Ovis aries: one gene and its partners. The protein of the gene in region 4 interacts with the protein of the main gene of each other region in a biochemical or structural test. Links are inferred from orthologs where the notes say so. Each region holds a gene or a part of one and is shown on either strand. Other genes may lie near its edges. The genes, in order: CENPA, CDCA8, KLHL13, AURKB, RACGAP1 and KLHL9.

Region 1 (3,952 bases), on a different chromosome or scaffold from region 4:
TCCTTACCACTAGTGCTACCTGGGAAGCCAAATAGTAGACTGTAGAAAACAGGCTCCCCAAAACAGGGGTTTTTGTCTATTGCGGTCATTGTGGTCATCTTCAGCAACTGGAGAACAGTGGATCAGTGCTACATAAATATTGGTTAAATCAATGAATAAATGATCCTTTCAGGGTCCTACTGACCCTCAGTGATGATCCTTTGAGGATCTTAATTTAAATGCCAACTCTTTCACACATTACCTTAATCCTAATGTAATGGGAAGCCACGGAAGAGCTTTAAGCAGGACGGAGAGTTGATACACTTTTATTTAAAGATCACTCCTGCTCCTATGTAAGGAAAGTACTGAAAAGGGACAAGAGTAGAAGTGATGTCATAGCTGGCTTAGGGTTGGGGCTTAGATGAGGCTAGTGGGAGTAGAAAAGGAAACAAGTGGCATGATTAGGATGCGATGTAGCAGTAGAAGTACCTGAACTTACATTTGGATTGGATGGACATGGGGCATAGAATGAAAAATCTCTTCCAGGTTTTTGGCTGTGGGAGGTTGTGCCATTTACTGAAATGGGGGAAACTGAGGATGAAGAGGCAGGAGAAGAGTAACCAAAAGTTTGCTTTTAGATGTGTTTGGAGAAGAACTGACTCACTGGAAAAAACCCTGATGCTGGGAAAGATTGAAGGCCAGAGGAGAAGGGGATGACAGAGGATGAGATGGTTGGATGGCATCACCAACTCTATAGACATGAGTTTAAGCAAACTCCAGGAGTTGGTGATGGACAGGGAAGCCTGGTGTGCTGCAGTCCACGGGGTCGCAAAGCGTCGGACACGACTGAGCTACTGAACTGAACTAGTGTGACATACCCCAAAGTCACACTAGTAGGACATAGGTATGTGGAGTCAGAGGCGAGACCCGGGCTGGAGCTAAACGTGTATGTGAGAGCTGTCAGAGTGTTAAGTCCTACTGGAGTCAAAAGGAGAGATGAGCCCCCCTGGGGAAGGGAAAGAAAGAAAAAGGAGACCACGGAAGTCCAACATCAACTTGCTCAAGAGAGATGGCACAGGCACTAACCACTGAGTAGAAATTACAGAGTGTATGTATCATGGAGTCAGGGGGATGGAGGGTTTTGAGGAAGAAATGGCCCACTGTGTCGAATGCTTCTGAAAGACAGGGTAAGAGAAGAACACAGGCATGTCTAATAAAGTTGGCAACACAAAAGTAGTTGGTGACCTTGACAGGAGTAGTTCAAAGGCACTAGACACAGGGGTAGTGGTTATGAGAAGTCGGATTGGAACGAGTTGAAGGGTCACTGGGAAGAGAGGAAAACACACACATGGCAACACTAGTCTCAGGGCCTCAGTAACAATAAAATAAGAAAGAAAATGTATAAAAATGAAAAAACGATTCAAAAGTCATTACTTGCCCATAATATAATAGCTCACTTGAAAATTTCAACTAAAGCAACTAAAAGACTATTAGGATTCACAAGAGAATTCAGCAAGTTCGCTAGCTGCAAAGGTTATTTATGTTTAGGAAAGAAAAAAATCCTATGCACTATAGCAACATCTACAAAAAACCGATAACACTTTCTTCTCCCTGCTCTTAGCTATGGAGCAGGAGACAAGTAAAGCGGTTGCTGATGGTTAGGTCTCCCATCCCCCAGACCACAGCACAGAAACTGAGGACCACAGACCACCCTTCTTTCCAGGCATATACCTCTGCAAGAGGACAAGGTGAGAGAACAGGTTGAGTTAGGGCACTTTGGTTAAGGCCCAACACAGCCTCTCACTGAAGGGAAAAAACCCCACCCCCCCACCCACCCAAATACCTAAACAGGCACCTTCTAAAAGTAGAACTGTTGTTGTCACAAAACTTTTGTGAAGTTGTCACCAAAAGTAGCCAATAATTTTGCGACTGAAAAAAGCACAAACACTGATTTTAAAAAATCCTGTCTGCGGGAACAGATTGGGTGACCTTGCTCAAGTTAGCAGGTCTGTCTGAGCCATTTGTAAAATGGGCACAATATAAATTTAAGTAACTTCGTATAAAGAGTTTAACATAATGCCTAGTTAGTGGTAAGCAGTCAACCCATGCTGTTAGTATCAAGAATGTCTAAGCCAGTCCTTTCTCCTCCTCGAAACTGCTTTCCTCAGTCCCCTCCGGGTTTTGGACCTTGTTTCCGTACTGAGCTTCCCTGGTGGCTCAGACCGTAAAGCGTCTGTCTACAATGCGGGAGACCCGGGTTCGATCCCAGGGTTGGGAAGATCCCCTGACGAAGGAAATGGCAACCCATTCCAGGACTATTGCCTGGAAAATCCCTTGGACGAAGGAACCTTGTAGGCTACAGTCCATGGGGTCGCAAAGAGTCGGACACGACTGAGCGACTTCACTTTCACTTTCCGTATGGACAGAACTGCTTTGCCCCCTGTAGAGGAAGGCGAATGGACCGGGATTGGGAGAATGGGCTCGATCCCAGATCAGCAAGGAGCCTCAGCTTTTCGTCTGTGAAATGAGCACGTGGACTGGGTCCGTACCCACCTCACAGACAGGCTGTAGGCAGACCGGCTCAGAGGAAAATGGATCGTGGCAGGTTACCTAAGGACCGGGCCGGCCGGCGGGCGGCGGGAGCCGGGCTCACGGGGCGCCTCCTTGGTGTTTCGGGCTTGCGTCTCGGGCGGTGCGGGCCCATGGCGGGCGAGCAGGGCTGCAGCCCCGCGGCTCCTTCTAGATCTTCTGGGTCCGGGGACAGAGGCTGGGAGGGCCGGGGCGTCCCGGCCGCGTGCCCCGGCTGGGTGCTATTCGAATTGCCCTCGCCGCCGCCAATTCAGTGGCGGCGTTTTTTAAAAACCGAATCCAGCGACTCCCACTGGCTGCCTCGGAACGCTCCTGGGCTAACGGCGGCGGTGATAGGAGGAGACTACGGGGATGAGGCGGATCGACGGTAGGAACCAGCCAATAGAGACTTGAAGAAGTGAAAGGAGGCGGGAACTACTCCGCCCTCCGCTCGCTCGGAGAAGCCCGCATGTTTGATGGATTAGACCCAGGTAGTCCCGTGGCTTCTGGTCGTAAAAAGAAAGCTCCATTCTGACTATGTAGACGGTACGTGTGTGGAACGCGATTCTCTAGATGAATCACTTTGCGCAAATATTTTACGTTTTGCTCTATTAATCCTAAATTGGCTTTTAAAGACTCGGAGACAGGCCCAAGGAGAATGTGACTATTCTGTGCCTCTCCTGAGACTAGGGTCACCCGGAACACCCCACGAACGCGACTCAGAAATGAGCATTAACTCAGTTCATTTCAGTCGCTCAGTCATGTCCGACTCTCTAAGAGCCCATGGACTTCATCATGCCAGTCTTCCCTGTCCATCACCAACTCCCGAACCTTGCTCAAACTCATGTCCATTAAGTCGGTAATGCCATCCAACTATCTCATCCTGAACGCTATTAATGATTAGGGTCGTGGGACAGCCAGGATGGGAACTCTGACAATAAGATCAAGCAGGGCAGTCTTCAGCTCTTTTCTTGGATCATACGCTCCAGCATTTCAATAGAATCATCCCAAGGGAAAAGATCCCTTCCCTTCCTGTTGGGGGATAATATGCTTGAGGGCAAATATAGAACTAGACAGTTAGAATAAAGGGGGTTTTACATTATGCTTTTTTTGTTTGTTTGTTTTACATTTCCTAGATGTTCTATAGTAACCTGTGACTGTAATCAGGAAGAATGTTACAAAATCAGTGATCTTAGAGAACCCTTATTCACTGCTGGTTGGTGGGGATGCACATTGGTGCAGTCACAGTTGAAAACAGTATGGCAGTGGATCAAAAAATTAAACATAGAATGACCATATGATCTAGCAATTCCACTTCTGCATATACATTCCAAAAAAAAAGCAGAGGCTTGAACAGGTATCTGTACAATAAGGCTCATAGCAGTGTTATTCACAATAGCCACAA
Region 2 (2,913 bases), on a different chromosome or scaffold from region 4:
GTAAGTGTAAAGCAGTAGCCCAGACCCAAAAGGCGAGCCTAAGAATGGCTAAACCCAGAAGGCTCCACCCTGTGTGTGGAGAGGAGCATGAATGACTTACGGAGAGCTTCTTAATGTTTCCCAGGGCCTCTGGATCCAGCTGGGCAATATCGATCCTCTGCAAGTCACTGGCCAATAACCGCATGCTCTGTGGGGAGGGGAGAGGGTTAAAGTGGCTGGTCCCTCAGAGCAGGAACCTCTGCCAGCAGCCCAGGGTGCCCTGGGGGTCCCCTTGATATCCTGCACTTGTGGGGGGTGGTGGCAAGGCAGGCAGGAGGGGTGTGAGTCCCAAGGAGACAGTGATGTTGGCGTTTATCACTGGGTCAGTGGCTGGATCAGCTGAAGACAAGGGGTGCACGTTCGCTTAGAAATGCCCTGCAGACCTCACGTAAGATAAACCATCCCCTCCGTCCCCGAGCGGAGGTCAGCAACTTGCTCTGTTCTGCCTGCTTCAGACTCCTCAGAATTACACCAAGTGGAAGACCCTCATGCTGCCCTTTCTGGACTAAGCATGCACCCTGACAGTGCCCTCCTTTGCACACCCTTTAAAATCTCCTTCACTGCACATATCGCATGCTATGTTATTAACTGGGAGCCTAGCTTGACTACTGACCGCTACTCGAGGGCAGGAATGTCTTCCACATCTGCTATTAATACAAGATACGTGGGCCTATGTTAGCTGATGAGCAAATGGAACGCAGAGCTGGGCAAGAATCCTCCCAGGCTGGAGCTCTACCCTGGGAGAGGAAGTGGTTCTGAGTCCTACGGAAGTGTGGAGATGACGAGCCAGGCAACCAAAGGACTTTGGGTTCCGGGAGAGAGGTGGGTGATGGACAAGAGAAAGAAATGGTGAGTAAGCTGCGCAAAGTGGCCCGACCCACCCCTCCCTGGAACACTCACCTCTCCGCCTCCCACTGGCACAGTGAGGAATATCTCTTTGCTGTCGGCGAGAGGGCTGCCGTTCACAGAGACATTGTAAATCCGCTCTCTGGCCGCTGGAGTACGCAGGCCCGGGGTCTTGAAGATCCTATAAAGTGGGGAAATGTCTGTAAAGATGGCTTGGCAGATTGAATGACACCAGGCGCTATGAGCCCTTCCAAACTCCATCTGGCCTCAAGCTGCAGTTTTCAAATCACATTTCTAAGAAGGCACGTTCTAAATTTAGGGTTAAAAAGCAGTAATGACTCAACACAGCTGGATAAAGGAGGCTGTAATTATCAAACATACATCTAGCAAAAGTAAATTCTTATCCATGTAAATTTTAGGTCCAGAGCTCCATACGGAGAGCAGTCACCCACCCATCCATCCACCCACAAGGCCAGAAATAAATGCTGGCTAATATATTTCTAAGAGTGGCTATGTGCTTCCATCAGAAATTTTCCAGGGTCAAAGGAGGATGGTTCAGTGATGACATCATTATGTTAATTCCCAAACTGACTTTCTTGAGATCTTTAAAGTGCTTCCATCTCTTTTTCCCTAAATGTCCTTTGCTATATACTCATGCAAAAAAAAAAAAGTTAAGGAGGAGTGAGAATTAGAAGTAGAAGGTAGGTCTTCCTCCCTCTCCCACTCCAGAGACAAGCATGCCCAGTTCCTGACGCATCCCTCCAGAAACTATCAAATGGGATCGTCTGGGGCGTGCTGCTCTGCCGCCTGTGTGGAGAGGCTCCTGACCATGAGGCTCTTCCCATCAGCACATGCAGAGCCGCTTATTTTTTAATGGCTACACAGCATCTGCTATCCAGTTGACCAGCACTGTAGAAGGGATTAATTTATGCTGTAAGAACATCCTTAGTTATATTGGTCTCCCAAAAGGTGGTGTTAATTTTCACTCCTACCAAGGGTATGGGAAGAGTACCTACCAACTTAAAATAAACTTAATCAGAATCAGAAAGGACCGAAATAGTCACTAGAGGCCTCCAAGTCATCAGGGACAGACTGGTCTCCTCCCTCTCATCAGATAAACAATCATTTTGCCACTGAAAACAGGTGAACCTGCTCTCAGGGGAGAGGCAAACATTAGGAAACGCTCCTGAGTGAGGCTTTCCAGTATTTTCTTAAATACTCTTCTCTTCTGACAAATGTCAAGTACTGGGCTCCCACCAAAATCCAAGCGCTGCTGCCAGTACTCACCTTGAGTCAAACCTGGGTGTCAGGCCCGGAGTTGGTTTCACCAGCGACAACTCCAGTCGGCCCACAGCTGGGGTAACGGTGGCATAATGGCTTGACCTACGGGAAAGACACAGCCATTAGGTGCACCAACTCTCAGGTCCAGTGACTACAGCGTATAAGCAGGTAACACTGAGCATGTCGGAGCCTGTCCTGGGCGCCTTCCACACATTAGCTCATGCAGCCTCTTCGCCACCCTGTGAGACGCACCATTATCCTCATTTCCAGATGCAGAAACTCGGGGACATTAGGGCAGAGCCAGAACCCTGAACCCAGGCAGTCTGCCTCCAGAATCTGACTTCTCAGTCAAGCTAAGGGAACGAGAGGAAGGAGACAGCCCCTCTGCACCCTGTAGGCCCCCTAGCTGGAGCTCCTGTCCTCTAGCCAGACAGCTCCCACTGCCCAGGGAGAAGAGAGAGGAGCTCACTCTTCACAGACACGCTCCAGTGACTCCTTTCCTGAGCTCATTAAGAGGCAGCCCCTCCCCCACCCTCCCAGCATAAGAAATTCAAGTCCATGGTGATTCATTGCTTAGCAGGACCAGGAGGAATTTTTCAAGAAACTAGCCACAGGTAGGTGATAGCCACTTTGTGACTAACCATGTGGGTAGCTCTACACACGGATTGTCTGGCAACTGAACAAAATATGCAGTGCTTACTGTTATGTTTCTGTGTCTTATTCATCTCCCTGTTTGCATTTTAAAAA
Region 3 (4,285 bases), on a different chromosome or scaffold from region 4:
GATTGTGAGCTCCCGGGAAACAGGAAGTAAATTGTCGTCTTTGAATTATGCTCAGCACCTAGAACAGAACATGACAGTAAGTTTTAATTTTTAAGGCAAATGTAAATTCACTATTACATAGCTAGGAAGAAAATAAATTCAGGTAGTTTATTTATTTATATCTTTCCATAATCCATAAGGGAAAAAAGCATATCTTTCCTGATTATATGCTAAGGTGCTTCAGTCATGTCCAACTCTGTGCAGCCCTATGGACTGTAGCCCACCAGGCTTCTCTGTCCATGGGATTCTCCAGGCAAGAATACTGGAGTGGGTTGCTATGCCCTCTTCCAAGGGATCTTCCTGACTCAGGGATTGAACCCTGGGTCTCCTGCATTGGCAGGCGGGTTCTTTACCATCAGCACTACCTGGGAAGCCCCTTATAGTGAGCAACAAAATAAAAAGATTGTACTTTGAGATATATTTTTAAACCTAGAAAATTAGCATGTTTAAAACACATAAAAGCTAATAATTGGGTCCACAAATCCCTTCTGTGCACTTCTTAATTACAAAAAGCTCTGGAAGCCAAACATTTTTGTTTTGTATTTTTAGTGACTTATTTGACAGTCAACTTAGTCTAACCTAAACTTATCTGACAGTAGTAGCTGACCTGAACTGAAGGTGGCTACTTACTAGTGTTTATCTACCGCTTATGAATAATCATAAGGTTTGCTGCAAGAAATACTACCCTATTTGATTATGCAGCATTTGCCCTCAACTCCCTAGGGTGTTAAAGAATACATAGTATATGGCATTCGGTTTTACACAAACTCGCCAGACAACCCCAGGTCTTTTCCTGGTAGCTTTCCACGTAGGAATCTAGAATCCCATTCCAGCCTCTCTGAGGCCATGACCCCGGTCCCAGTTGCTTTTCTGCCGCCATCTTGAGCAACAATTGTGCAAACAGCTCCGAGTGCCTTCCTGTCATGGCAGTTGGAAAAATAAATGTTTCCCGATTATATATAAAGTCAGCCTTATCACTTTGATGGTCAATGATGCGTTAACAAAGAACATCTTAGTCTTTTATAAGCACCTTTCTATTTTCATCACTGGACACGGCAGTTGAGGATCAGAATTAAGTTACAAACTCTTATCCTTGCAACGGAATCTGCTCAATATATTTACCATTTGACTGATGCACATATTGACCAGTATGTAAGAATTTCTCTCCCGTTAAGTGTGGGCAACAATAGTTATCTGTAAAGAGAAAGTAACCGGAGGCCCTACAGTGGCTCGGCTCCAGCAACAAATCCATCATTACTCCATCGAACTGGCACACTCCCCACTATCTCTCCTGGACCCCACCCTCTGGCCAGCAGGATCCTATCTAGAGATCTCAATTAGAGATCTTGTACTAAATAGCACAGGTTATGCCCCATAACGCTAGAGGAGGTGGACCCGCCTACTCCCTAGGGTTTGGGAATCTGGGCTTGGATAAATTAAATCGACGAAAATTTAAACCACAATGCCAACTTATCCCGACACCATTTCCTCATAAGAAAAACAGCAAACTCCAAATCACCCCTCTAAAAATGCCTCTGTTTAGAATTGCAGAGTTAGAGAATGGGACACTCTGCCGGACCCCACCTACATCAGGCGCGCTCCCACAAAGTCGGGGGACCGCGTCGCTCAGGCGTAGGCTCTAGACTCCTCCCCTCAGAACACTCATCCCCACCCTTCCCCACTACTTCCGGCCCTCACCGAACGCCCTCAACGGCGCTTGCGCCGTTTTGATAGGCTTCTAGAGTACAAAAAATCTGAGCTCTGCCTCTCAGGAACCGCCCCCGCCTCCTCTTCGCCCCACCCACGCCCCACCGGCCCCTCCCGAAATCTCGCGAGGGTAGGTGCGCGTCCGTGTTTTTCGGGCAACTGGCTCTCCCAGCAGCTGTAATTGCTGCTGCGGGAGATATTGGAGCTGCTGTCGTCCGCGCGCCCGCCCTCCCCCACTGAGGAGAGCCACCGCCTCTTTCGCTCTCTTCGCACACCTATCGCCGGGAGCGGCGGCAGCAACAGTCCACCGCCGCCTCCTCAGACGGCCGCTCTGCCGGTTATTGCCTCAGTCCGGCACTTGCCGGCAGCCCCCTGTCCAGCTCCTCTCTTCAGATCGTCTGCTCCCTCCTCATCCTCCCCGGGACCCACCTCCCCACGGTTCGCCGGTGTGGAGGACGACGAGGAGGAGACGAGAGTCACCCTCCCTCCAGGCGGCGCCGGCCCCCTCACCCGCGGGTGTGTCCTATAAATGGCGTCGGAAAGCGACACGGAGGAATTCTTTGATGCCCCTGAAGATGTGCACCTTGAGGGCGGCGACCCTACCGGGTAAGTAGCCCTGGCCCAGAAGCCAGGCGTCCCCGTCTCCTGGCTTCCCCTGTGCCTTCCCCCCTACACCCCTTCCAGGTCCCGTCGCCGCAGCCCCTCCGTCTCCCTCGGCTACTTCAGAGTGAGTTCCGGGGAGGGCAATCGCCCACCTCGGGCAAACCCCGCTCTTGGCCCTGGTAAACGGCCCCCGGGCTTCTCTCGGAGCCGCTTTCTCTTGTCCAGCTTTCTGCGAGGTGGGACAGTTTACGAGCTCGAGAACCAGAGATGTGTATTTGAGGGTTTCAGAGCTTACCTTGAAACATCCGTTTTGGCCTTGGGGGCCATAGATTAAAGGAGCGGTAACAGGAATTGCAGTGACGGGTTTTTTTCCTTCTTTTGCCGCTAACTTACCTATCCGATTCAGAGGTGTCTCTACTTCTCCCTATTTGCTGTCCTCTTTTGGTTGCACAAAAAGAAAAGGAGCGGAGCGAGGGGAGGGGGAAGACTGGGTGTTTACTTAGGAAAGTCCTCTAGCTGATGTACTCGAGATCCACGGTGTTTTATCAAAATAACATCTTGCCATGAGGCAGAGGAAATCGAAGACGAGGTCCTTTACAATTAGCGAGACTGCGGTCTTAAAAGAGTTGCCGTACAGAAATGTGTACAACCGACTACAGTGATACAAACAAGTGCTGAGTAATCTGTGGTTGGAAGGAGAGCCACAGCTTTGTGCTCTTTATCTAATTCTGCAAAATGTTTTAGTGGTGATTAATAGGGAGATTCTGAGTAGGAACTACAGTAGTTGGAATGCTTCGCTTGCCTGGGACTTCTACTGACCCACTCCCGACTCTTCCGAGTTGGAATAATGTTTAAAGCGAGTTCACCGAACTCCTCTACTGGTCTTGTGTGGCACTAGAGGCAGTGAAATACATTTTCGTGCTATAGGAACTTGAAAATGGGTAAAATTTGTCATGTTACTGTAAAAGTCACTAATATGGTTCCAAAAGTCAGCTGCCTTCAATTTGCAAGCTTACCCGTGGAAGAAATACCTTAATGCAAATTAATATTATCTGTACATTCTAGAAGTCGTTCTAAAACTGAATAGGTATTATATATAATATGTACCCCAAAAGTTACAGCGACAAAAGCAGAGAAAATGTATGTTGGTAGGTCGTTAATGAGTGTGTTTCCACCAACCTTCAAATCACTAGTATAGGATTTGAAGGTTGGCAATGGCCAATCTTGAGATGGCATTGAATCTCCTTTAACTTCACAAATTCACAGCTAGATGGTAGAGGATAGAAAATTCACTTGGATTTCCAAGTATATAGGAGTCCTGTGAAATTAAATTTTGTCTTCCTGGTATTCCCCTTAAAGTAATCATATGATTTAATAAATTTAGAGCTGTATGAGTATTGTTTCTTTTCAATGAATGTAGCATTTAATTTTGACGAACAGCTACATCAGGACCTGTGTAAACTGCCTAGTAGTCCAGTACCTGGCAGAAAGATCTCCAGTGTTCATTCCTTCTCCTTCCTTTCTTGTAATTAGCAAATTTAACTTCACAGGGTGCTTACTTTGGGAGGAAGTATGCACAACTTGGAGTTATTTAACTTATCTAAACTGAATGAGTCATTTTGATAGAATTGCTAGTCACTTCTTCCCTCCTGGGATAATAAACTTCTCAAGCACTATGATCCTTTGATATGCTAGGTAAAAAGTAAAAACATCTCTTAGGACCCAGCCTTCTGATTTTAACTCTAACCTGCCCAAATATTGAGGATGTTGAGCTCTATGGGCAAAACTACTGTCAGTCTATGAATTTCAAGGCTCCATCCTGCATTATTGAGGGGCTTTCGAAGGAAATTAAACTCTACCTGTGTAAATTTAATCAGGAGAATTTAATCTGAAAAGAACTAGCAGTACTGAGAGGACTGCACAAGGTTGGCATTAT
Region 4 (2,012 bases):
AAGCATCATACATAGCAGTGAAACTATGGGAACAAGTTTCCCATAGGTCAGGAACAAGACACCATCAGCTTCTATTTACTCCTGTGCTAAATCCTCACCAGAGCAGAAAAACAAAACAAGAAGACAACTTTAATTGCTCCTAGGTCAGCAAGACTGACCCAGGAAAGGGAAAGATTAGAGGTCAACTAAGAGGGAGTAATAGAAGGTGGGTGGAGATGGTTGGTGATGGCTGATGTGCAGGCATAGCAGAGTAGAGCCAGGTCCCCAGCATCCCCAGGCCTGGGAGCCAGAGCAGGGGAAAGGAAAGATGTGGAAGTAGGATGGTTGGGAGCTGACCAGATGAGGTTAGAGCTGAGAGGTTGCTCTCAGTGCTGAGGGGTGTTCCCAGGGGTGATGATGCAGTGCCCACCCCACTGCCCAGCATGGGCAACTCCCTCGCCTCCTCCCCATGGGTGATGACTTCCTTCACAGCAGTCTCCACATGTAAACATCTACACTCATCAGTACAAAAAGCTTCAGCCTTTATTAAATAAAGAGGAGGTAGAAGACAGATGCAGAAACAGACTTGGGACCCCCCTCCTCCTGGCTACACATATACAGACACAGACACAACTGAGAAAAGGACAGGGACATTTCAGGGGACAGACTGAGGGGCAGAGGGAGGCAGCACCCTGCGAGAGTGGGCTCGGACCCAAGGGTGGGCAGAGACCTGGGCCAGCGGCAGGCGTTCTGAGGGGTTATGCTTGAGCAGCTTGGAGATGAGGTCCTGGGCTCCCATGGGCACAGAAGGAGGGAACTTTAGGTCCACCTGCAAGAAGGAGAGACAGGCTTCATCCTAGCTGCTTTTGCCTCCACTTCCCACTCTATTAGCAGGGTTTAACATCAACAGCAACAGTGTGCCCACTCCCTGCCCCAGCCCCTGAGCTGGCACAAACTCCAGCCAGACCCCGGGGGCCAGCCTCCCACCTTGACAATGCGCCGGTACGTCTCATTGTGGGAAGCACTCTCGAAGGGCGGGTTTCCCACCAGCAGCTCGTAGCAAAGCACGCCGATGCACCACAGGTCCACCTTCTCATTGTGCGTGCGCCCCTCAATCATCTCTGGGGGCAGGTAGTCCAGAGTGCCGCACATTGTCTTCCTCCTGGGGTGGGGCGGGGGAAGAGGGGGAGTGGGCAGGGATCTCAGATCCAGACTTTCCCTCCTTTCCCTGCAGCCTGACAGGGAGCCCAGACCGACCACAGGATGTGCCAGGGGTCTTCCAACCAGGCTCTGATGGGGTCTTTGGGGTAGGAGTGGGGCTAGCACACTGACTCTGCATTTCCACACTGAGGGCCGTACCTTAAAATAAATCAGATATGAGGGCAACGTTCACCTTAGAATTATAGGAAGAATTTCAGATGTTCATCAATCACATGTTGCTTAATCACATTACATTTCTACTGTGCAATACTATGAAGCCACTAAAAATGATGTGGGAGTATTCTCAGTGATATGGCAAGAAGGTCCCATTGTTTCAAGTGAGAAATCTGAGTGACAAAACTGAGACTCCTATTTTTGTTTTTGGCCACGCTGCACGGTTTGCAGGATCTTAGTTCCCTCGACCAGGGATTGAACCTGGGCCCCCTGCAGTGAAAGCTGGAGTCCTAACCACTGGACCAGCAGGGAACTCCCAAAGTCTCCTATTTTTGTAAAGATATTGCTGTGTCTATATATTTACATGAGAACAACCCAAAATGTCTCTGGGTAACAAGATCTGAAGTGGTTTTATTTTGAATGGCTTCATACCCAGGGCTGGCCTTCTGGCCCACCATACCTCAGGGAGGGGGCATGCACCGACCAGCCAAAGTCAGCAATCTTCAGCTCACCCCGGAGCCCCAAGAGCAGATTCTCTGGCTTGATGTCTCTGTGAATCACCTTCTTTGCATGGCAGTACGTCAGAGCATCTGCCAGCTCCTCCATGATCTGGGGGGCCAATGGCAGACAGTCAGAAGAGGACTGACCTCAGGCGGCAA
Region 5 (3,500 bases), on a different chromosome or scaffold from region 4:
GCCTGAGATCCGATACAGGCCTGTCTGTTATCAAGATGACATTTTCAGTTAAAAACCTCTTAATTACTGATGCAAATAACAAACTCACCCTCTCCAAGGATGGACTCTTACCTCAGTCAGTCCTCTTTGCTCAATCTCATTTACACAGTGGACAACAATTGACGGTATCATTGGAGAAGTCTGGGACACATAATCTGCCAGCATTCCCTGAAAAAGGTGAGTTTAAAGTTATTATTTATACCACTTAGACTAGCAGATGAAGGCCAATGGGAAGAGCCATCCCCAGACTAATACTGAGGCTGGGACACCATGCCTACTTTAAAATTCCTCTTCCCAAAGCATAAATAAGACTAGAGCCGCTCAATTATTCTTCCTACCTCTACACCAGGACTGATTTATGGTCACATGTACCACACTCTCACATGAACAAGTAATAAGATCACTGGCTACAACTCCACCCCTGCTCCTCTTACAGTCAAGGGCATCAGAAAGAAAGCAATAATGAGATTACAGGTGTGGAGTGTAATATAAACTAAGTTATTACTCTAAAAAATCTGTTCTATCCTGTAATTACTCTTAGTAAGAAAAATTATTTAATACAACTCAGTTGACTATGACACACACTGATCTGTAGGAGAGAACTCCGTGGCTCTATAGTACAGAAAATCTGTAAAAAAAACTACATGCATGGATAAAAATTCTTAAGATTAAAGGACTTCCCTAGTAGTACAGTGGATAAGAATCCACCTCCAGTGCAGGGGACATGGGTTTGATCCCTGGTCTGGGAAGATTCCACATGCCACAGAGCAACAAGGCCCACGCGCCACAACTGCTGAGACTTACGGGCCTAAAGTCTGTGCTCCACGAAGAAAGAAGCCCGTGTACCACAACAAAGAGTAGGCCCACTCACTGTCAACTAGAGAAAGCCCTCGAGTAGCAACAAAAACCCAGAACAACCAGAAAAAAAATAAAGATTAAATGGGAATCATGCACTAAAAGAAAAAAAAAAGATTAAAGAAAAGTAATATTTGATTTGCTGGAGGCTGAGTAGCAGCTCAATCATTTTGTTTTGATTCTTGCTAATGTTGCTTCTAACAATAATTTCTTAATGAATTGAATCAAATTTTAGAAATGAATCTAATCTTAACAGCCTAGTATGGAATATCTCCAACATAAGATAAAGAATATTCAAAGATGAAATTATATCATGGCTGGGATTTGCTTCAAAATAATTCACTGAACAGGGTCAGGAGAAGATGGAGGTATTAACAAATCAAGACTGGACATGAGTCAGGGATCATGAAAGCTGAATGATAAGATATGAATGATAAGAATGATAGGGGTTAGTTACACTCATCTCTCTACTTTTGTATATGTTTGAAATTTTACAAAAGTAGATGGGATGGGGATGGGAAGGAAGAGAAGAATAGGAAGCGAAAGGAGGGAAGGGAGAAGGAAAAAGCAAGAAAATAAGGAAAGGGAGGGAAAGAGGAAGAGGAAGGGAGGGGAAGAAAAGGAAGAAGAATTTGGTTTAGAAAAGCTACTAATCAGACAGACAAACCCAAACAGGATTCTTCAAGTTAACATTTTATAATTTCTATTCACTATTTGAGGGAGGAAATGTACATGGCGTCAATAATTTTTGAAAAAAATGACCATAAGCTTTTAAAGGGCTTCTCTGGTGGCTCAGAGGTAAAGAATCCACCACGACACAGGGTCTATCACTAGGCTGGGAAGATCCCCTGGAGGATGGTATGGCAACCCACTCCAGTCTTCTTCCCTAGAGAATCCCCACAGACAGAGGAGCCTGGCAGACTACGGTCCATGGGGTCACAAGGGGTTGGACAGACTGAAGCGTCTGAGCACAGAGGCTTTTTAAAAGCTAACAAAGTCATAACACAGTGAGGGCTCCCACAGGTCATATACATACTTCTCCAATCTTGACAGGTGTCCCTGTCAGGGTAGGAATACAGGGAAGCGGACAGCGGTCCCGACATTCTGGATGAGAGACCACACGACAGTCTCGACACTTCAGAGACAGCTTGCCAAATTTTATTCGCTTTCCACATGGTACACAAGATTCGGGTTTAATAACCTGAGGATGAAACAGGGAATGGTATGAATTAGAACATTTATCATCAATCAACATTTATTAAGCACTTAGCATGTGCCCAATAGCTTTCTCATCCCTTTACACATATTTTTTACTTGTGTAATTCTCACAATAATCCTATAGGGTTTTTTTTTTTTTTTTAAGATAAGGAAACAAGCAAAAAGAGGCTAAGTAATTTGCAAAGGGATCACCATACACTAGTGGAAAGAAACTGCTGGCAAGGAGTCAGAAAACCTCTATGTTAAACTCTGCTACTTACTGTCCTGTGGCTCAAACAAGTCAGTTAAGGCCTCTGTGCCCCTGTCAGTTTGCTTGGATTTTTACCAGAAATCAAATGGGACAAAGTTAAGGCGTGCCATATTCAAGCATGAACTGTAAATACATATCATGATAAAGCAAACACTGCTTCTGAAAAGTTGCTTTCTTTTACTATCACTCACAGAATGGAAAGATACACACCCTCTCTAACCCTGGAGAGGGGGATGAGGAGGAAGGAAATTTGACATTTAACTTTACAACACTAAATATTTAAATTTGTGATTAGCAAATATTACGCCCACCGTTAAAAAATTAGATGTGTCCCAAAGCAGCAGCAGCCCCAGCTTTACCGTCTTAGAGACGAAGTCGTGCAGGCGCATCCCCCCATTGCTCTGCGGAGTGCTGGAGCCGTCTGTTTCGGTTTTTGGCTCTGGCTGCCTGCTGCTCAATGTGGAGTCACTGTTCCAAGGCTGTAAAGTACCTAGAAAACAGACAACTCCAAGCTTTGTGTCTTAGATGTTTCGTTCCTTCTGAATTTTTTTTGCCGCACCCTGTGGTTCATGAGACTTAGCTCCTCAACCAGGGACTGATCCCAGGGTCCTTGGCAGTCAGAGTGCGAAGTCCTAACCACTGGACCGCCAGGTAATTCTCCCGTCTGAATTTTAACCCCAATTCTAATATAACCAGTAGGGACTTCCCTGGCAGTCCAGTGATTAAGAATCTCCCTTCCAGTGCCAGGGGACATGGAAAAGAAATATGTCTTCCATGTTGGGAAACATCCCACATGCTACAGGGGAACTAAATAGCCTGTGAGCCACAACCAAAGAAACGTGCACGCCACAACAAAGATCCTGAGTGCCGCAGCAAAGATCCGACACAGCCAAATACACAATATAACTAGTAGATAACCAGGAGTCTATAACACCCAGAAGTGAACTATGCAACACAGTTTCCAGAGAGACAAGCTACACACCAGCGGTGTAGGTCAGGCTAGCAAGCCAAAGCAGGGCATGACAAAACAGGGCTCTGTCCCCCAGTAAGAAGCAGTACAGTGAACGACCTGAAACATCCAGCCCCTGACTCATGAGGGTTCTAAGAAACCAGTTCTCCCCGGATTTCACCAGTTGTT
Region 6 (4,121 bases), on a different chromosome or scaffold from region 4:
ATGAAAAAAGGGAAGCAGCTAATAAGGCTTGACGACCTTTTTTGTTTATTATTTTAGGTTATAGTAGGCATCCTCCCTTTGATGTCTTGTAGTCAAAGATGAAAACTTTCAACTTTGAAGCATAATGAACATAATTATACATTTACTTCAATCACCTACACTCTGCCTTACACAACACCACAAAAAGATATCTAACAATTTTTCTGCTTTTTACATTTGTTAAAATAGCTATGTTGAACACATACATTTGCAGAATACAGTTGTTAACCATTTGATAAACATACTAAGCCAAACAATACAAATAACATCAATTACCTTTTTAATCTAATAACTGTACCAATCATTGTAAGAAGATACAACTGAAGGGGAATTACGGGATCATCCTTGATGCACTGCAAAGGTTTTACACCTTGGTCCTAAGAATGATCTGAAGGTGCTGAAAGAGGTGATTCTCTGGAAGGTGACCCAGGATTTTCTTCAGGTGGAAAAACTGTGAGAGTACAAGCTCGAATGCCACCAAGTGACTCTGGAAGGTCAAAAACTTTATGCCACTCATCCTTTTCTGGGTCATATTTCTGGACAATTTCTACCATACAACGATTATTCCAAGAATATCCACCTACGACATAGATTTTATTTTCAAAGACAGCAACTCCAACATCACTTTGACCTCTTAACATGGCAGCAATTGGTGTCCACTGGTCAAGAGTTGGCGAATAGTATTCACAGCTTAGAACATCATCATAATCACTTGTTCCTCTGAAGTGATTGCCACCAATGACATAGAGCTTGTCTCCAACTGTACACATGCAATGCAGACCTCTGACTGTTGTCATTGGAGCCTTCTGTGTCCATTTGTCTGTATCAGGGTCAAAACACATGAGCTCATTTTGGAAAGTGTCATGAGTAATTCCTCCTGAAATATACATTAAGCCTCCATACACTGTTCCAGCATGGCCATAGTGGGGTTCACTCATTTTCGCAACATAGCTCCACTCATTCATTCTTGGATTGTAACATTCTACAGTGGCCAGCTCACCAGCTGCACTTCGCCCACCAACAGCATACAAATGTCCTTTGAGGGCGCTCAAGTGGAAAAATGTGCGCTTTTCATTTAATGATGCAACCTGCATCCATTTATTATATCGAGGATCAAATCTGAAAACTGTATCAACAGCAGTTTTTCCTTTTGTATCATAATTACTTTGACCACCAACTACATAAAGAAAGTTTCCAATGACAGCAATGCCATGCTGGTAACGAGGAGCATCCATGGGGGCTAAAGATCTCCACTCTTGAGCCCTCTCATCATACATCCGTAATTCTTTACTGACAACCAGCTGCTGCCTCAAAACTCCTCCTAATGTAACCAAGTGTGTCGAATCAGATCGAATGGCGGTTCTATCTGACTGCATCACTGGCTGCATATATGGCATCATTTGGTAATTGCTAGCTTCCAAAAGCAAATTCACACACGTATTGTCTGTTCTCATAAAATCTACTGTCTGCACATAATTGATGAGATCCTGTGGTGTCATCAGTGGAAATCGAATATTCTTCATTAATTTTGCAGCATAATCCATCCGAGGATCTTCCAACCTTAGCCAGCGACAGGCAGCCTTAAAGAGCTCAAGTTCAGTACAGTGCTTAAGGCTATTGCTAGAAAGCACAAAGGCAAGCCGTTCAAAAGGGAGTTTTAGAAACTCTCCAGTACTCAGTAAGGCAGGAAAATTCTTCAGAATGAAATTATTGACATATTTATCTACTTCTATAAGATTGTAGGTGTTAGCAATTCGTCCAACTTCAACACAGTTATCTAAAGAGACTCCTGAAATAAGAAACACTTTACAGAAGTCTAAAACAGGCAAGATTTGCAAAAAGCTGGCAGCTTCAAGAGTGTCCTGAAGATTGTCCATATTAAGAGAAAGCTTTGCAGTATAAATAAAATCAATAATTTTCTTCAGACCAACTTTGTTCACTCCGTGAAGCTTAATGCACATTAAATCCTGTTCTTTCATTCCACCTGTGAACATAGCCTTGAAGTAATCACTAGCGGACGCCATCATAGCTCTATGAACAGGGAAGATTTCATCTCCATCACCTGGCACCAGAGTCACATCACAAAGCAATCCTTCTATTCTAAGTTGATCAAAACCTTGCAGTACCACCGAACTGTGAGTATTGCTGGTAAAAAAACGTGTGGTTCCTGCCTTGCAAGGCTGTAAATGGGCGGAGACGCCCATTTCACCGTTACCAAGAGACACTTTCATGTGAACGCCTTCCTCTTGCACAAAGATGTATGCCGGACAAAGAGGTTACGACCGGAAAGCTTTAAAGGAAACGAGGATGTCCCAAGAGCAAGAGAGCTCGCTTTCCTTATCAAGGGCAAACTGTCACTGCAGCACGCCTCAGAACACAATAGTCCCACATTGAAAATTGTTCTGCAGCTGGCCCACAGAGGGCTGTGGACCTCAAATCTGACTACTATGTAGATGATTCATCACCTGAGGCAGTTAAGTGACCCGGTTCACCTGGTCCGGCCTGCGCTGCTCTTCCCGCAGTTCTGCTCCGGGCTAAGGGGGAGGTGCCGCCACGTCCTGCGGCCCGGCGTCTCGCTCGACGGCGAGGGCCGGCACCTCAGAGAGCGGCCCGCCGCGCCCTCCGCCGCCCTTTGAGCGTCGCCGCGGCTACCGGCCCGTCCTGGAGCAAGGACCTGGAACACGAGCCTGGGCCTGGAACACGGGCCGAGCTCCCAACGCCGAGCCGGTCCTTCCGGAAAGGCCTCGTCCCAGGATCCCCCGGGCTAGGAGCGGCCGTGGCAGCTACTGCGGCTGCGCAGCCGCCCGACCTAGCCAGTAGGCGGGCTTGTGTGGGGGATGGGAGGATGTGGGCCGTGCCTCGAGCAGGCGGGGTTTGGGTCGCGCAGAGCTGTGCTGGGTGGGCCAGCGGGGTGTCTTCGGGATACTTTGTATGTGGTATTATTAAATAGGAATGGGTGCCCGGATATTATTTTTAATATAACTCTTTCACTGCAGCTGAGCTGTTCCTCTAAATGAATACTTCGAGATTTACATTTCTTGGCTTCTGCCTTTTGGATAACAATGAAATGCAGCTTTTCTGGAAGCTGAAACCTGGCAGAAGGCTTCCTTAGGGGAAAGATGCTTTTAGTTTTCCTCTATAAAAAACAAACTTTATTAATTCTTATCCCACACTGGGAATGTTCTGGCAGGTCAGTGGTTAGGACTCGGCACTTTCACTGCTGTGGCCAGGGTTCAAACCCTGGCTGCAGACCAAGATCCCTCAAACTCCTCAACCAAAAAAAAAACCAACAAAAAACCTATCCCACACAATTTAATAGACAGTTCAAGTATAACTCTGGGTACATATTTTCAGATTTTAATCATTTAAAACAGGTTATTTGCCTCTCTTAAAATACCAAATTATGACCATGCTATGTAAATAATATAGGCTGAATTTTTGCCATGCAGCAGAATTCCATCAGTAAATTTTTCGTGCTTTTGTTTTCCACTCACAAGTTTTTAAATGGATAGACAATTGTCATTTGTTCCTGAATATATACTTCGTTGTTCTCCAATGTTACAGACTCCGAGCACAAAACTTCCCATTTTGGGATAAATCCTAATGTTAGAATGCTGCTTGAAGACATACAAAGTTTTTTGCAAAATATTGTCACCAGAGATGTTTTGAAAAACTACATATTGGCACTTTTCATTGGCACTTGCCATCTACCTCTACAAGGATTGAATAAATCTCTCCTGCTGTTGTAGCTGCTGACCTTCAACACCACCTGATGGGTGTTCAGAGTGGAGATCAGAAAGGAGGCACTCTTGTGCTCTGGAAAAACTGGCAGAACAGGTCTTCAGATAGATATTTTCAGGAGCTGATTTTAGGAGCACAATTTTTGCATCTCCTCATATCTAGAAAAGCACTAAATTCCTTCATGGTGATATCTGCTCCCTCGTGACTAGCAAAACCTTCTGCAAAAAAACATGCTTGATTGCATATACCCCTCTCTTCACTAAAATCACATATATACCAACCACCCCTCTACCTCTTTGGAGCAGCTTCCCAGAGTATGTGAAATGCTATCTCCAGGGCAA

What was found.
Region 1: of the proteins of AURKB (region 4) and CENPA, one has a biochemical effect on the other in vitro, tested with the Homo sapiens proteins (3 studies listed by BioGRID). The link is inferred for Ovis aries from reciprocal best matches to the Homo sapiens genes AURKB and CENPA.
Region 2: the proteins of AURKB (region 4) and CDCA8 form a complex in vitro, tested with the Homo sapiens proteins (3 studies listed by BioGRID, with this or other methods). The link is inferred for Ovis aries from reciprocal best matches to the Homo sapiens genes AURKB and CDCA8.
Region 3: of the proteins of AURKB (region 4) and KLHL13, one has a biochemical effect on the other in vitro, tested with the Homo sapiens proteins (2 studies listed by BioGRID and IntAct, with this or other methods). The link is inferred for Ovis aries from reciprocal best matches to the Homo sapiens genes AURKB and KLHL13.
Region 5: of the proteins of AURKB (region 4) and RACGAP1, one has a biochemical effect on the other in vitro, tested with the Homo sapiens proteins (2 studies listed by BioGRID and IntAct). The link is inferred for Ovis aries from reciprocal best matches to the Homo sapiens genes AURKB and RACGAP1.
Region 6: the proteins of AURKB (region 4) and KLHL9 form a complex in vitro, tested with the Homo sapiens proteins (2 studies listed by BioGRID and IntAct, with this or other methods). The link is inferred for Ovis aries from reciprocal best matches to the Homo sapiens genes AURKB and KLHL9.

The regions. Positions count from the first base shown.
Region 1 is NC_056056.1:33,923,376-33,927,327, reverse strand, and holds the start of CENPA (histone H3-like centromeric protein A), read right to left. Parts: upstream 2,801-3,952; 5' UTR 2,684-2,800; coding exon 2,590-2,683; intron 1-2,589. UniProt on the Homo sapiens protein: Histone H3-like nucleosomal protein that is specifically found in centromeric nucleosomes. Replaces conventional H3 in the nucleosome core of centromeric chromatin that serves as an assembly site for the inner kinetochore.
Region 2 is NC_056054.1:12,512,377-12,515,289, reverse strand, and holds part of CDCA8 (borealin), read right to left. Parts: intron 2,269-2,913; coding exon 2,173-2,268; intron 1,067-2,172; coding exon 940-1,066; intron 188-939; coding exon 1-187.
Region 3 is NC_056080.1:116,536,123-116,540,407, reverse strand, and holds the start of KLHL13 (kelch-like protein 13), read right to left. Parts: upstream 2,801-4,285; 5' UTR 2,645-2,800; intron 2,353-2,644; coding exon of another isoform or gene 2,276-2,352; exon of another isoform or gene 1,891-2,275; intron 1,692-1,890; exon of another isoform or gene 1,624-1,691; intron 59-1,623; 5' UTR 1-58. Other genes in the region: WDR44 (WD repeat-containing protein 44), read left to right, coding at 2,276-2,352. UniProt on the Homo sapiens protein: Substrate-specific adapter of a BCR (BTB-CUL3-RBX1) E3 ubiquitin-protein ligase complex required for mitotic progression and cytokinesis.
Region 4 is NC_056064.1:27,652,583-27,654,594, forward strand, and holds the end of AURKB (aurora kinase B), read right to left. Parts: exon of another isoform or gene 1,963-2,012; coding exon 1,814-1,962; exon of another isoform or gene 1,142-1,813; coding exon 967-1,141; exon of another isoform or gene 809-966; coding exon 635-808; 3' UTR 501-634; downstream 1-500. UniProt on the Homo sapiens protein: Serine/threonine-protein kinase component of the chromosomal passenger complex (CPC), a complex that acts as a key regulator of mitosis.
Region 5 is NC_056056.1:136,300,577-136,304,076, reverse strand, and holds part of RACGAP1 (rac GTPase-activating protein 1), read right to left. Parts: intron 2,853-3,500; coding exon 2,722-2,852; intron 2,096-2,721; coding exon 1,931-2,095; intron 208-1,930; coding exon 112-207; intron 25-111; coding exon 1-24.
Region 6 is NC_056055.1:89,892,476-89,896,596, forward strand, and holds the start of KLHL9 (kelch-like protein 9), read right to left. Parts: upstream 2,801-4,121; 5' UTR 2,271-2,800; coding exon 417-2,270; 3' UTR 316-416; intron 1-315.